2 linked regions of the Saccharomyces cerevisiae S288C genome follow. The protein of the gene in region 2 interacts with the protein of the main gene of each other region in a biochemical or structural test. Each region holds a gene or a part of one and is shown on either strand. Other genes may lie near its edges.

Evidence for each region.
Region 1: the proteins of PSY2 (region 2) and PPH3 form a complex in vitro, tested with the Saccharomyces cerevisiae proteins (2 studies listed by BioGRID).

The regions. Positions count from the first base shown.
Region 1 is NC_001136.10:595,338-598,909, reverse strand, and holds PPH3 (phosphoprotein phosphatase PP4 catalytic subunit PPH3), read right to left. Parts: upstream 1,755-3,572; coding exon 828-1,754; downstream 1-827. Other genes in the region: putative DNA-dependent ATPase RAD55, read right to left, coding at 1-442; trehalose-phosphatase TPS2, read right to left, coding at 2,327-3,572. UniProt on the Saccharomyces cerevisiae protein: Forms the histone H2A phosphatase complex in association with the regulatory subunits PSY2 and PSY4, which dephosphorylates H2AS128ph (gamma-H2A) that has been displaced from sites of DNA lesions in the double-stranded DNA break repair process.
Region 2 is NC_001146.8:260,101-265,393, forward strand, and holds PSY2 (Psy2p), read right to left. Parts: upstream 3,104-5,293; coding exon 527-3,103; downstream 1-526. Other genes in the region: SPS19 (2,4-dienoyl-CoA reductase (NADPH)), read left to right, coding at 1-356; NNR1 (NADHX epimerase), read right to left, coding at 3,613-4,353; GCR2 (Gcr2p), read right to left, coding at 4,826-5,293.

The sequences.
Region 1 (3,572 bases), on a different chromosome or scaffold from region 2:
GTGTACACAGATGATCGCAGACTAATTGAGAAAATCCATCAATTATAACTAGTTTATATCGCACACTTTGAGATAATTTGAACAAATTCTGGAAGAAATATAATAGCTGTCCAAATTTCGTTATTCGGACCCGCTTCACATTTTCTTCCACGATTTTAAATTTTTGAAAGCGTTCTCTTAGTATGTTTATGGGCATTTCTTGAAATGTTTCTATCCATAGAATTTTATCGTCGTTTATTTCCGATTGTTGTATGCCTTCTAACGAATTACACACCAATTGAATGCCAAAATTAGTCTTGCCAATGCCCGGAGGCCCAAATATTTCGTAGATCGACCTTGCCTGGAATCCCAGGTTTAATATCTCATCTAATCCTGTGATGCCGCTACTTAATGGCTTTGGACTTTCTACTATTAATTGGGAAAGTGGTATACCAAGCGACATATTTTCATATTATATATTATTAATAAGTTCTTTTCCTTATCTAAAAGCTTTCCTTAATGTACTTGACATCTTTGATAGCGGAGCTTATTATTAGTTAGTCATGCTACTATGTATTTTTTTCTATTTTTCATATCAAACGCGATGAGAAGAGAACACGTGAAGAACTTAGGGGACCTCCGCATCTATAACATATTCTACTGAAGAAAAAAAGGAATAAAAAATAAAAGAAGAAACGGTAGCTGGGTATATATTAGTATTCAAAAGCCATATTGTTAATTAGCTAAGATGTGAAAAGAAGTATGTAATATTACAATTTTTTTTCCTTTATTGCATTATGAAGAAAAAAAGAAAAATGCACTTGACAATTAGAGTGCCTGTTAAAAATTTATAAGAAATAGTCCATTTGAGATTTTTTGGTTGGAATTATAGCATTTCCGACTTCATTTTGTGCCTGAACAGCTTCAAAAATTGTATATTCACGATTCAAATCGTCGTCTATCTTCAATACAGCTGCTACATTACCACAACGATAACAGTAATTCGGTGCCGACCAGACTGTCACTAATCCACCGTCGAACATTTCTTTGTAACCTTCCATCACTAACTGATGAGCTCTAGCAATTAACTCAACGTTGTTTTTCTCTAAGAATTGATCAACTTCTCTTTTACCGAAAAGAAATCCAGCACCTCTTGGTGATAATGACCATGTGTCAACGTCTTCGGGGTCGCTCCATAATAAGTCACACATAGCACCTTCATGTGGAACTTCTTGTTTCCTGTCTATTGTTCGTATTTCATCAACCGTGGTCATATCCGGAGATAATCCACCATGAACACAGAATATGCTATTGTTTATTATTGCCCCCAATGATAAATAATCAAAAACTTCACAGCAGTACCTCCATACGTTACTATTACCATATTTTCTTACTACTTCATCGTAAAATCCGTATACTTTAGTAATTTGCCGGGTTTCGTGATTGCCTCTAATTAAAGTAATCCTATCAGGATATCTTAATTTGTAACATAGTAAAAGTAAAAAACTCTCCAATGAGTAAAATCCCCTATCCACAAAATCGCCCAAGAAAATATACCTTGTTTTCTCTACACCACCACTCTTTTCGAAGAGCGTTAGTAGATCGTGTAATTGGCCATGTATATCACCGCATATTGTAACCGGTGTATCGACTTGTGTTACATTGCCTTCATTCATTAATAGTTCCTGTGAATTTAAACATAGCCTAAAAACGGTTTCTTCAGGAATATGTTTTCCGTCTCTCAGTGATGCTATAATCTTATCTAAGTCCATCATATCTCCCTTGAAATTTGTAATCACTTTTTTCGTGCTGTTTTACTTTGCTACGTGGACTAGCGTGTGACTACAAGTTAAAGTGTCCTGAATTGCAAAAGAAAAAGCTGAGAGGTTAACGTATAAAGAGAAAAGACCTCTGGTAGTACCCTCTTTTACCTACCGCTGTTTCGACGTGCTCTTTTCGAGATGCCGTTCTTCTCCTCAGTTCACATGATAAAGATACTTTTTTTCAATTAATTCATCGATTTTTTTTCTTCCCGCCGGACATTGTATTAAATTTCTTTTTCTCATTAATAAAACAAAGAACAATGATATTTATTAAAAACCGTTTAATAGTAAGGATAATAGTGAGAAGTTACATATCATATAAAGTTATTACATATTGGAAGTTTATAAAAATATAATGTGTATGTAAATCTTCGAAAATGGTGGGTTGAGACTATTATATATATGCCTTCGTCGCAACACCACATATTGACTGTTCAAATACAATACAAAGAAAAAAATAAAGCATGAAGGAGTAAGACGTAAGATGTCTGTCTAGTCATAACCATTTCGTTAAAAAGGGTGTTTCAAACCTTTGCGCCGGTGTAAGAAGCCGATCTTTTCATAACATAAGCTTTAGATGCTAGCTTTGATTTCAAACTGCTCTCACTATTCTTGACATGACCTCTGGAATCCAGGTCGACCGTACCAGCACTTTGGAAGAGAGAGACATCACCAACAAGTAAACCTAAAGTCTCCAGGACTTGCTGAGGATCGGTTAAATGAGCCTTTGCGACAGTTTTCTTGGATGCAGATCCCACAGTGACAGGATAGAATCCGTAGTTGCCCCATTGATTTTTTTGGTCAGGATATTTTTCTTTCCAACAAGTTTCAATGGTATTCAACTGTCTAAACATGTCTTCGTCAGTGAAGTCATCACCCAAACATAATACAAAATCAGGCATTTCATCCTTAGGTAGTTTTTCACTGATTCCCTTCAACATGTCCTGTGGTTTGCCATGTTGATGCCAGACTAGTCTCTTGACTATTTCACCTTTGTTGACGAATCTTGGACGAACTTCAATGTTTGCTTTACCATCCATGACCTCTAAATCAAAGTCATCAGTAAATGATAACAATTTTTCTTTCAGTTCTTTGGCGTGGAATTCACCCAATTCTGGAACGGTACGTCTATAATGCCAAGTTAGAGCGACTTTCTTTCTTTCGATGAATGAACCTGGGGTCCTTGTGGTAAATTCTTCCATCACTTCATTGACGCGTACTTGCCAAGACATATCAACTTTTTCGGTCAAATTGACCCAATCTTGGCAAGAAACATCTTTCATGAAACATCCATGCTCCGCACTTAGACCCAGTTGAGGAAGTTTACCGCCTAACCACTTGTTCAAAAACTTCTGGTCACGACCAGAAATAATCCAGATTTGATTATGAGGATCAGCACATAATTTTTGTAGAATTGTATAAAGTCTTGCCGATGGAATAGCTGCAGCTGGGTCTTTGACAATTGGGGTCAAAGTACCATCGTAATCAAAAAGGAACAATCTACGCTTAGCCTGCTTGTAATTTTCTAAAAGAACAGGTCTATTAAGTGCTGGAGTCATTTTCCTTTCCATATCATCATTAGATGACGCCTGTTCCTTTAATGAACTCAAAAACTTATTAGTCCAATCTTGAATTGTAGGAACTTCTTTCCATAATTTTGATTCTAAATTGGACTTTTCTTCCTTGTCCAATTTCAAAGCCATGTTAATAGATTTAGCCACGGCCACCGAATCCCATGGGTTAACCACAATGGCATCTTTCAATACGTTA
Region 2 (5,293 bases):
ATGTGGGCGCTGCTAAAGCGGGAATAGACGCATTGGCAAAGAATTTAGCGGTTGAGTTGGGGCCTCTGGGTATACGTTCGAATTGCATTGCTCCAGGTGCTATCGATAATACGGAAGGCTTGAAGAGATTAGCCGGCAAAAAATATAAGGAAAAGGCCTTGGCAAAGATACCATTACAAAGGCTTGGATCTACACGGGATATAGCCGAATCTACTGTTTATATTTTTTCACCCGCCGCATCGTATGTCACCGGTACCGTCTTAGTTGTTGACGGTGGTATGTGGCATTTAGGGACCTATTTTGGACATGAGTTGTATCCAGAAGCCTTAATAAAGAGTATGACATCTAAATTATAATACGTATAGGTATTGAGTACTATTATTATATGACACTTTCTCGTATGCTTTTTGATAGTTAATTGTATATTGATGAATTTTATATACAATGAGTGCACTATCGTTGTTAAACTTCTTACAACCATGACCGTTGTGCTAGCTTTTTATTCTTCTTTCCAACAAGGAAAAACTCAAGTACTTGCATTCATTTGGTCAACGCTTTTTTTAAATGCTAACTGATCACCAGAATAATGGGGGTCATTTTCAAAGTGTTCAATCTCAGAATGTAATCTTTTGACGTTTTTAATGTCAATATCTTCTAAATGATTCGAAGCAAATCCATCTGTTGACATATTTACAGAAATGTCATTCCCCCCTTCAATGCTATTTTCAAAGCTAGAATGATCGGGTTGGTTTTCTTCCCCGGTTTCTAGCATATCCTGGATGAAAGGGATATCAGTAGCTTTTCTCAAGACATCACCATATGTTTGAACTAAGTATTTGTTTAAAATGGTAAAGTTTGTCCTATTGTTGTTCACGTTCGTTTTGACGTCATTACCGTTGCCATCATAAGAACCATTGGTTTTTTCCTTTCTGTTATGGCCATCACTTTGATAAGCTCTACATTCTGTTATAATAATGCGGAAAAAATCTTGAATGCATGAATTTGCAAGATTATTCTTATCTATGTTCTCCTGGAAGAGTTTAAAAACCGGCGCATATAAATTTTTTGAAATCATATATCGATGATAGTATTTATCATCGAGACACATAAGGTTTTTAATGCATCTTACTGCTGTTAACCTTAGCTGCATCATATGATTACCGCCGATAAGTTTGCTAACAGAATCTAGTATACCGTTTTCTAATATGAATCTTCTGGATAAGACACGATCATGCTCAGTGCAAACAAATGATACCAATTTCACTAAATGAATTAACAAAAGATCGTCTTTTGTAACCTTTTCTATTTGCCCATCTATTTCTGCCATTTCCGTTGTGATATCCTTCTTGATTAATGGACCAAACAGTATGGGTGCGATTTTATTATAGAAATTTGCAAAATATTCCATTACTTGAAATTCAGATTCAGATTCTGGCTCTAGATTATTCATTTCATCGCTGCTATAGTGATAGTTATTTAAATTGATTGAATCCGAGTTTAAACCATAACTGAAACTTGGGAAATCTTCAGATGTGTTCTTAGCTTCATAATTTGATCTGCCCATAAGATCATATGAACCTTCTCCATTACCCACACATCCTTCAGGGTGAAGCAAAGTATTTAGCGCTTGCACAACTTGTTCTCGCAATCCGGGACTCCTGTCGGACAGAAGAATGGTTGAAAGTATCAATAACAACTTGGAATCAGTACTGGAGCTGTAATCCTGCGGATATTTCCGATGGGAAGACTTGTCATCGGGCGCTGATTTATGTTGCCGTTTGAAAGAATCTTCATTCTGAACGTTGTGAATTAACAAGATATCGTGTTCGATTATAGTAATGATAGTATCCGTAGCTAAAATCCTAACATTACTATCCGTCTCCATGTGAAATGCATAATCTAAAACTTTGAATAGACCCTTTCGAACAAGTGTTTTATAGAACTTAGAACGGTCAACCGCATCTAAATTGATTGACATTTGAACACACTGTTGCAACAATCTAATCCCGTCTTTTCGTTTTTGTACAAACTTCTCCTTCTCTGAAGAGCTTTCTGGAAGGGTTTTGGTATCATAAAGCTCTATTAGTCTGTCCAAAAACGTCCCTACTTGAAGAAAGTCGATTATACACGTTTCCAGGTCCATGACAATTTCCGAGATTAAGTTGAAATTATGATCGTCTAAAAATCGTACTAATACCACGTCTTTTAAGAACTGTAAGCGAAAACATTTTTTCATTATTATTTTTAAGTCCTCATTTTCCAATGGAATAACCTCTTTGAAATTGGGACCTTTTGATCCTAAATATTTCCTATGATTTGCCTTTGATGTAGGGTATTCAGTATCGTATTCTAAAATCCCAACTATTCCCATAATCCTATCGTCCTCCACCATTGACTCCAATATGTCTCTTTTATTGTAAAGTATCAAAGTTTTGATGATGTTACTTAGCAAAAATAAATCCTTCGGTATCTTTTCTTCTTCTGCTTTGTGGAAATGAGAAATCAGTGTATCAATGTAATTTGACTGGAGGATAAACTCAATGGTTTCGTTTTTCAAAAAATCGAAAGAAGTATTTTCATTCAAAATCTTTAGAGCTTCTAGTAAAGTTTGACTATTCTGTTGCTGGTCGTTGGAGGGCAAGGTCACAGGGCCCGTTATAATGTCGTGAACAGACCCGAGTCCGTTGTCGCTGGATTTTACGGTGACTAAAGAAATATTTGACTCTATGTTCCTTTGGACGTGAACAATGAATTCACATAAGGTGTCACATCCCATACTTTCTTCAAAACTCAAGGCTATATCTTTCCCCCCTAAATCCTTCCAAACAATAAGCGTTTCCTCCTGCCGTTGATATTCAATATTTCCTTCTAGTTTGGATTTTAGTAAAGTTTCAGTTGGGGAGTCTTCATCTGAGACAACAAGATATGCGAACTTACCTTCGTCCACCTCCCCTATACAAAACCCTGTACCTGTGTCTTTCCATTCGTTGTTCTCTAAAATGTAAACCTTTACTCTTTTGGGTTCAGTATTAACCGAAACGGCTTGTTCAGTATCCTCATCCATCGGGGTCGGAGATGTAGTAGGTGTACCCGGTAATGACATTACTCTTACTATACGTAAATCCTAAACTTTTCAGTTAGAATTTCTGTTTCAAACACAGACCAAAAAAAATACTGTTTTCTACCGGTTTAATATGGAATAAATGAGTTTCGATGAATTATAGTACCAGTTCAGTACACTCTTCTTTATTTTTTTTTTTTTCAGTATGCGCGGGTTTTGAAAGCACTAGGTCTTTTAGATTTTACGTCAAAGGAGGCCGAGAAAATATTGTTAACTATGCCACTGATGCAAGCAATCTCTATTGTGCAATTCTAGTTATATCTACCTTGCAATTGCCCTTTAGAAAGTATTGGTCTTCTTTCTTTTGTTTCTTCTTCGGATGAAACACCAAAGGAAAAAAAAAAAAGACAGATAGAAAAAGAAAAGATGGCGCGTCAGAAAAAGAAACGACGGTTTTATCATCTTAAAAGAGAATCATGATGGCTATTTGTTCACAAAATAAGGGATTATATAAAAATTATGTATGGTAGTGGCATTATAGATTTGGGCTATCAGAGTTTCAATATTTGGTCTGTGGATTCATATCCAAATGGCTCAAAGCCGAATTTATTGGCGAAATCTCGAGGAATGAATCTTCCCCCCACGTAATGAGTTGTTTGATTCTCCCTTATGTGAGAGCTGCATGGCTTGGGGACAGTCAGAGATACAAGAACAGCAGGATTAATTGAGGGCTGAGAGATCGGACCTTTGTCAACGTCCCAACCTGTGGGGACGTCCACCGAAACAATCGGGATAATGTTTTGCACTTTGCACAGTTCTTCGACAATGCCCTTGAATGGCTCTCTCATGGGAGGCTTGAAACTAAAACCAAATATTGCATCTACAATGCATAAGGTCTTTTCCGGCTTCAAATATTCCAGCCAGTTTCCCTCATCTTGAGACAGGACAGGAACTTTGAAAAAATTCAATTGGTGAACCAGCTGTTTGTAGAATTCAGTGCGCTCGCTTCTCTTGGGGTAGAAAACAACAGGGTTGTAACCAAAAAGCTTCAAATGTCTTGCGCACACGAGACCATCCCCGCCATTGTTACCTGGCCCAGCAATAACAAATACATGTTTGCCCTTTTCCGTTTCTGTCTTGCCTCTCAGTGGAAACTGGCGACATACAGCCTGCGCGACACTAAACCCAGCTAACTCCATTAGCTGTTGTAGAGTGAATCCGATTTGAGGACCCATCAATTCTTTGTCGATTTCAGCTGCAAGCTTTGATGAAACAACTTTCAACGTAGACATTTTTACCTTACAATGATTTCTCTTTAATACCTGAGATTGGTGTGTTGAAATGAAAATATGTGTTGGCCCAGCAACAGACAATAATATAAGCAAGGATCCTGGTCGTTTGATATTCTTCTTGAGTTTTTTTCTTATATATGAACGTATGTGTATATATTCACCATCCCTATTGTCTCCACCCCTTGTTCGCTCGTAGCGACGGAAACAATCAAATAAGAGGACCCACGGTAAAAGTAGCGTAAATTTTACGGTTCTGCTGCAAAATAAAGAAACCCATTTTGTATCCTTTACATCAGGAATAACGTAAAAAGAATTATCATTAGTTCGTAGTTATATAATAACGTCTGTTCATTATAAAAGAGTACAAGAAACAGTAAGATAGTAAACGTCACTGTTAAATAGTTAATTATACCGCCAATCTACACCAGAAAATTAAAAGAGAAAGCAATATATGTTAAACATTATTATCGTGTCATCTTTGTAAATCCCTTAACATACTTCTAACACAACCCATGTCTTCAATTAACATTTTCCTTAACCACTGCGTCTCTTGGCGCTGTAATTCCAATTCTCTTTCTAATTGCACAATTCTTTGGCCTTTTTCAGAAATGATTGCGTCATAAGCTTCTTTCAATGGGCGTATCACGGCTTCTGTATCTATAGGTCCCATGCTGTTTGAAGGATTTAAATCAACTTTCATTTGGGTGTTATTCGCGTTTAAATTAGTGTCCGGACCATCATTTATTAACGCACCCTCTGCTGCAGTTGTCATCGGCCTCTGCCTCTTACTCGTATTTGTCAGTTGCAAAAGTTCTTCCACCGCTTCGTCATCCAGCGTATTAACATCTAACGATCCCAGTGACCTTCGTTTCCACGAATGGGATCCATTATTGGACATTGTATTATAGCCCATGGTATTACTGGAAGCATTGGGGTTCAG